2 linked regions of the Lepisosteus oculatus genome follow. The protein of the gene in region 2 binds, or shares a complex with, the protein of the main gene of each other region. Links are inferred from orthologs where the notes say so. Each region holds a gene or a part of one and is shown on either strand. Other genes may lie near its edges.

Region 1 (3,755 bases), on a different chromosome or scaffold from region 2:
CATGTTGTAGTAGTTTGAGAATAACAATAAGAAAGCAGCACGTTTACACAAACAACAAGCGTTTCATGCTGATATGACTAGCCAAACCAGTCCGATTTCCACTGTAAAAGCAATCTGACAAGTTTAAAGTTTTACAAACTACGTAAAGCAAACAACACACCTACAATGCATTACATTGTGTGAATCTGCAAAGACTAATTTTAAAATAATGGCAACCTACACAACAGTCTGCAATTTTAAAAATGTGAGATGGATCAGCTATGCAATAGCACTCTGTACTATTTGTCAAACAGGGAATCAAATCAGAGGTTAGGGATCGTTTCGCTAATTTTTTCTTCAATTAGACTTCATCATTGCCAAGTACTGCAATTGTATAAGTTAATATGAGCAGATCAATTGCCCCTTAAAAATCACATACTGAAAAACCGAAATGAGAAAGGACAATAACAGTATCCTATTATAACCTTTTTCTCTCATGGGAATGAGATGTCCAGCCTTGATCCTGGAGGGCCCCAATCCTACAGTTTTTACTAGTAAGCACTAGTAACAAAGTTTAAATGTGATCCGGGTTGTCCAATTCTGGTCCTGGATGTCTGTTTTTCTTTTATAGGTTAAGTTTTTATAGCAGCAGCTCACAAACTGTGAGAACTTGTTAAATTAGTCCAACTAAGCCAATAATGACTGGTTTCAGGTTGTTAAATGCCCAGCTGGATTGCGGACACATCACAGCTCGAGGACTGGCCGGGACCACTAGAATAACCAATTAAGAAAGTTTAAAATTACTTAGAAAGTCACATAATTTGGAACTAAAATCTGTGTATTTAAATACTCTTCAGCCCTCAAGGGCTGTACAAATTTTAATTTCTCTGAAAAATCTTCTTGGCGAGGCAGTCTCACAGGCTCATTGAGATCAATATTCGATCTGTGTTGTATTTTTAAATTTGCTTCAGACAATTAAAAAAAGTAAAATTTGTAACTAGTATACAGTGTTGTACCAGTTCCTAAATTTCATATGTACCTTCATTTAGATAGTTGACAAAAATGTAATCTATCAGACACTGTGGAGGACGACACGCATTATGGGAGTTCATTGTTACTCTCACTTGTCAAATAATATTGCATCTTATTTTTAGCCATTTTCAAGCTATGCAAAATCATAAAGAGGTCTATGCAGGTACATGTTACCCTTAACTAATTTGGTAGTATACGTTTGGCACAAAAAAAGTTTAAATAAACCCCTCCCATCACCTCTATTTGCAATTTAGGTTGAAGCTTGTTAACTGTTCAGGCTTTATTTTAACCTGTCTTCTTTCTGATTTTTACAATATCCTCTCCTCCTTTAATCTGCATCCAAAGAAAAATTTCATCACACCCGAAGAAGGCTCCACAGCCGAAACATTGTGTTTCTTTTCTTCTCTTTTCAGCATGGAATAAACCTTTACTTGGTCCTTTAATCTAGTTCAATTTGTTGATGATCTGACTCATACCAAAGGACTTCTTAATCTAGTTATTGCAAACAATGTAAATGTCAATGAATTAGTCATTTCACTCAAAACCCTATCAGATCACTTTTTATACATTTTAACATCCCAACTGTATTATCAAAGCCACTGCCCAGATTGATTTGCTTTCTGTAATGGAAAAAAAAGTGCTCCTGCTTCTGTCACTGATGCCCTAACTAGATCTGATTTACATTACAACCAAGATTGTCTAAGCAGTAAAAACAGGGTTAATTATTTCAACAATTCAGACTCGATAGCACCTATTCTGTCACTGTTAAGGACTCTAAATACTCCACCTTCTCTTACTTTCAAAGATCTTGGAAAAACTTGTAGCCATTCAATTACAATCTCATTTGTCCTTCCTTAAAATACATTTAGTGTCAGTCTTGTTTTAGATTAGCCAACAGTACAGAGAAAGCCTTGTACAAAGTTCTAAACTACCTTCAATTAAACTCTGGCTCTAGTTCTCTATTGGTCCTATTAGATCTGACAGCTGCATTCAGTTAGACTGCCTTGTAGCCTGTAGATGTGTAACTGGAACAGCTTTGAATTGGTTTTAATCTTATTTGTCAAACCAGGAACAATATGTTGCCATTGAAGACCAAAACTGACATATTCTCTTCCTCTATCCTAAGACCTTTTCTGTTTTTAATCTTCTTACTCCCATTAGGCAGTCTAACTGGAAAGAAAATGGCACTTTCATTTTTATGATGGCCACATTTACCTTTACATCTCTATTCCATTCATTCCCTCATGTGACGTCTCACTTATGACAAACTGTGAGTGAAACCGAGGCCCAGCTGAGCTAAAATTTCCTCCTTATGACAAACACTGAGGTAATGTGCACAATTCCCATGGCATATACATCCCATTTACTAAATTCCCTACACCTTGGAAACCATAGCCTCACTTTATGACCTACTTTGAGAAATCTGGGGATAGAGGGTCTTCTTTGATCCTGACCTCTGTTGTGATGCACTTTTTTGTAAGCCATCTATAAAGTCACTTCAGAAAATCAATCTTTTCTTGACACTGCTGCAGAAAGTCTGATTCATGCATTTGTCACATCAGCTGGATTACTGCAATACTTCATACAGTGGTCTCCCCACCCACTCCCTTAACAGACTTCAAACTATCCAAAAACGAGCCATTCCGTCTAATGCATTTAAGGCTCCCTGGCCACATCACCCCAATTTTGAAACGTCATCACAAGCTCTCTATTACCCAGTGAATTCAGCTCTTTTAAAGACCTACACACTAAATCCCTACAACGCGTAATACTCGTATTGCTCCCTGTGTATAAAGCAGGGCTTTACACTCCCTTAGACATTTTTAGCACTTCTTATCAGTTCAAGTGCCTTGGGTCGTGAGCTTTCACATCTTACGGTTTTTAAATCTAGACTAAAAAACTTACCTAAAGTTATGTTTAGTTTAATGTTTGCTTTTCCCACGTTTTTTATCTCTACCTTTATCGGGTTCAAGCGTTATTTTGATTTTAGTTTTACCCTGTAAAGTGTCCCAAATACTATTGGTGTACATGGGCACTGATAAATATTGAAATATATAACGGCAGTATTACAAACGCCTATGAAGTCAGTCATTTTTAATACAAAACACTTACAGGTATTCCTGTAAACAGTCGCGCAAAATGCAGTGTACTAAAACCTATAAGATAAAAACACTACCTCAGTGCCTTGCATTTTGTACAAACACATGGACACGTGCCCTTACAGTTTAAAAATAATTCAGAAGTCCGCCTACTACTGAACTTAGTAACTCAGTCAATTATGCTTTTGTGACAGCGCCACTTCTGCGGGTTTCACTTTCAATGCGATATTCTCTACGGAAGGCGCCAATTTTAAAAAGAGCCAGGGAAAAAAAGGCAAAAGTTAAATAGCTTAATTTAACTTAATGAGTAAGACAAGCATTCCTCTTTAAACGTTTAAATGCCCGATAATACAGGCATGGGCTTTCTTTATAATCGTTTAAAACATATAATCGACTCGTACCTCGACGGAAGGCTTCTTAACTAGCATAAATATCCGCGAAATCCGATTTGAAACACAAAAATATATTAACCTAAATGTGTTTTACAAAACTAAGGCGCGAAAAGTTGCCGTTGTTTGCCTGCAGAGAACCGAGCTTTGCATGCTCTCCAGCGCCAAGCTAACTGCGCACCGCTCACGCGCTCCCAAACCGAGCCAAGGTGAGACCTGCAAGAGCTAAGCTCGCGGAATAACAGCAATGACAAAT
Region 2 (3,755 bases):
ATGTGAGGGACTTGAAATTCTGCGGAGCTGAACCATTAATTGTGTATTGTAAAAGCATTTTGGAGAGAGAAATCGGCATTGGTTGCATTTAACGTCAACCAGACAACTCTGATAATTCATTATGAAGCTACATCTAGGTGTTTTTGTTCATGGAATATTATTTTAGATAAGAGCATCAGAAAGGCAACAGATAAGAGAAAGCCATCGAGCTCAGCTTTCTTTTTCCACCAAGGAAGGGTGTTCCAGAAGCCCACCACTGTCATCAGCCACTGTGAGAAGCCCAGTATTTCCTATTATTATATATTAACAGTTTTTGTTTTGCTGCCTACACTTGTCTACATTAAATGCCACCTGTGAATGTTTGCCCAGTCTTTTTTTTTCCCCATTGTGCAGTATTAGTTTGTTTCCCTGCGTTGGAATTGCTGTGGTTTACCTAGGGGTGTACGGATGGTACTGTGGGGAGTGTAGTGTAGTAAAATATTTTGAAAATAGCAGATCAGAATGGCAAGTCAGCTTTCTCGAATGCTTTCTTAACATAATTAGCCTTGTAAAAATTTAAATTCATTAACTAAATAGTGGGGAAAGTAGAGTGAGCACTAGTGTAAAGACTCTGGATTATTTAAAACATAAAAATAATCAAACCTAATGACGAACCCTATATTCTCCACAGAATTAGGCATTGGGAACTGTAACATTCCAAAGCTATTATAAGCAGCTCTCTAGAAAGGCAACTCACATATATCATACCCATATATCATACTTAAAAGATCCTTTCCACGGTAGAAAATGTGAACTTCACTTTTGCACTAACTATACCAAAATCTCAGTGACTGATAAAAAGCAAATGTTATATCTTTCATGAATGGAAAAACAATGTACGAGGTACCAAACCTTAAAATTCTGGAACCCTTATTCTGTGGATTAATTTAACACGAACCTTCCAGCCTGCTGCACGCTGAGCGATCTTCCGATTGACCGGAACACGTGGGTTCCTGCTACAATGCGATCGTTGCTGTAACACGTTTTCTGCTGAAGTGCTGCCGATATTGATATTTACATGGCAGCAGCGGTTGCTAGCATGGGGGAGATAGAAACCGAGCCGGTGCGGCCCAAAGTGACTGATGCCAAAGGAATCCTCCAGCAGAATCGAGAGTTCCTTGATTTTTTTTGGGATATCGTGAAACCGGAGCAAGAAATACGATTAAAAGCCATCGAAGATCTGATCTGCTATCTGAAAAACAGCGAGAAGGTAGGACTGTAATGATTATTTACGTACATTGCTATAATAGGTTTCCTGGGTTTTTGATAGAATTAGGGATATATTTAGGGGGCAAATACAAATTAATTTTAAAACAAAATGTTCAACGAGACTTTTCAGGAGTTTTGTGCATACACAAGACTTTCCAGACTTGGTTTAACCACGTGGGTTTTGGTGACACTCATGGGCTTCCTTTGGCTCTTGATAAAACGTCTTTTTAGGACCTGCTATAAGGACCTTAAAATGTAGTAGTTATGCTAAGCGAATCAGCAGCGTGTTCTTAAAAGTTTGCCCAGAATCTCAGTTGTTAAAAGAAAGGTGATTTTTATTTTGTTGTTTTTGATTACTTGTCAATGCTGCGAGACATTTGATATGTCTTTGCTTTGTGTGCATTTTATTTTTGTGCATTTTTAATAATGTTACGCAAGGTTTAACATACGTTTTCAGCAGTTTTATCATTTCGATATTTTTTTCAATTCATGTTTTTATTTCTGTGTTTGGTTAGGAATTTTGTTTATTCCTCTTGCATTCTTATTATTTGATAAACAACGAGCTTTTATTAAGAAGCTTGTCGAGGACTGTATTTGCAATGAATAAATAATTGACTCGCCTAACCCAGTGAGTAACGTTGGTTAGCTATGCATTTTCATTGCAGGAATGTTAAAGAGCTGATGGGGAATGATTTAGTTTGATGCCTTTGATGTCAAATTAACTTTGTACAGTTTTATACAGCTTGGAATGGTCTTGAATGAACTTTGCTTAATGGTATAAGAGCACTATCTCACCCAGGGCGTGAACTCACAATTATTCAGGTACAAGTCTAGAGGTCTGACCACTCCTGCACACTTCAGTGGTAGTGTTTTATTTAGGCAGCATTGCTATTGTGGAGGAGTGGTGAGGAGGTGTTTGTGGTTCAGATCCTAGTGGGACACAGCAGTTGTACCATTTAGCATAGTGCATCCCTCAGATTTCTCTATTAAATTGCCAAGTTCTTTACATTTGGACAAAAGTGTCAACCAAATAAAACACATTATTCTTCCTTTTTATAGTTTGACCCTGTAGGTCTTCCCATGCGGAAATAATTAGGTACTTGTTTTTTACATCTGGGTGATCTGTGCCCCACAAAGGGTCTCTGGGTGTGAGTGTGATGGGCTAATCTTCTCTTCCCTCTTTTGCTCTCCCTCCCAGCCGGATGAGCTGAAATACACCCTGAAGCGACTGGTGGACGGGCTGTCCCACACTAGAGAGACTGCGCGGCCTGGCTTCAGCTTGGCTCTGGCCCAGGTCAGTGTCCTCCACAGCTGTCTCTGAGTGTGTGTCAGGAAATGAAGAATCACAGCTTAAACATCGTGTTAGAACCTGTTAGTAGGTAAAAAACAAGTAACACGAGCAGTGCTTCTTACTGCCAAGTTAAAGAAGTTGTCCAGCACTGAACAACATAAGGATGATTACTTAGGAGAGGAAGCTATTCTACCCCATTTGCTAGGAGTATGATCCAAGGATCCCATCCAGCTGTTTCTTAAAGGATGCCAAAGGATCACCTTCACATGGCTGGGCAACCTGTTCCATAACTCTTAAGAGTAAAGACCTGTTTCCTTTTTTCTCTGTTTTAAATATGCTTCGACCTAATTTTCACTGGTATCCTATGGGTTACGTTACAAATACAAGTAAAACAGACTAGAAAATAATCACGCTTGTTACAGGATAATTATACATGACTTAGAGTTCGAGAATTTCCAGCCCGAATGCTCGGCCACCTGAATTCTTTCTCTGCACCCTGAAGATGTTTTTTTGTCCTGCAGCAGAAGGCTGTGAGAGTGTCTGAGCTGTATGGAACTCAAATGCATTTGCATTACAGTTACATTGAAATGCAACTTGTGTTTTTCAACAGCCGGGTTCACTGTGATGATTGTGTTGTACTCTTTCATAGTAACCCAGACATAAACATATGGTGTTTATTGCAGGTCCTGCAGGTGTTTGAGGAGATCCCACTGCAGACAACACTGGACCATATTAAGGAAAAGAACAACCTGGAGACAGTGAAGAAGGTCAGGAAACAGTCTTTCCACACTCCCGACTGGATACCTAGAGCTCCCAAGTACCACATTCTTGCCATGGAGTCCTCTCCTGTCCATGGTCTCCTGATCTGATGTAGATGGTCTTCCTAGCCATGGAGATGTCTGGAAAGTTTGTGGAAAAATTACATTAAACTCTAAAGTATTGGGACAGAAATGTCAACTAAATACTGAAGAAAAGGTCTAATTAAATACTGACGGTCTTAATGTGGAAAGCGATGAAGATGGCTACGTGTTCTCAGAACGGGTTTTAGTAATTAGTAAACCTTCTGCCAGCTTCTGAAAATTAGGACGTTTTATTGGATTTTAAGACTTGGGAAACGGGTAGATCCAGCTCTGTTGCCTTGGTTATTTCTCTGATGGCCTCACCTGATTTTTATTATTCCTCAGAAACTCAGAAGAAATGCTGCATTTGGGAATTT

The links. Proteins that work in one complex are often made in the same cells at the same time.
Region 1: mybbp1a (region 2) and dek share a complex: the UniProt entries of both Homo sapiens proteins name them as parts of the B-WICH complex. The link is inferred for Lepisosteus oculatus from reciprocal best matches to the Homo sapiens genes MYBBP1A and DEK.

What each region holds. Positions count from the first base shown.
Region 1 is NC_090705.1:27,704,311-27,708,065, forward strand, and holds the start of dek (protein DEK), read right to left. Parts: upstream 2,512-3,755; 5' UTR 2,497-2,511; coding exon 2,425-2,496; intron 1-2,424. UniProt on the Homo sapiens protein: Involved in chromatin organization.
Region 2 is NC_090721.1:11,357,492-11,361,246, reverse strand, and holds the start of mybbp1a (myb-binding protein 1A-like protein), read left to right. Parts: upstream 1-972; 5' UTR 973-1,057; coding exon 1,058-1,249; intron 1,250-2,446; coding exon 2,447-2,542; intron 2,543-3,222; coding exon 3,223-3,306; intron 3,307-3,723; coding exon 3,724-3,755. UniProt on the Homo sapiens protein: May activate or repress transcription via interactions with sequence specific DNA-binding proteins. Repression may be mediated at least in part by histone deacetylase activity (HDAC activity).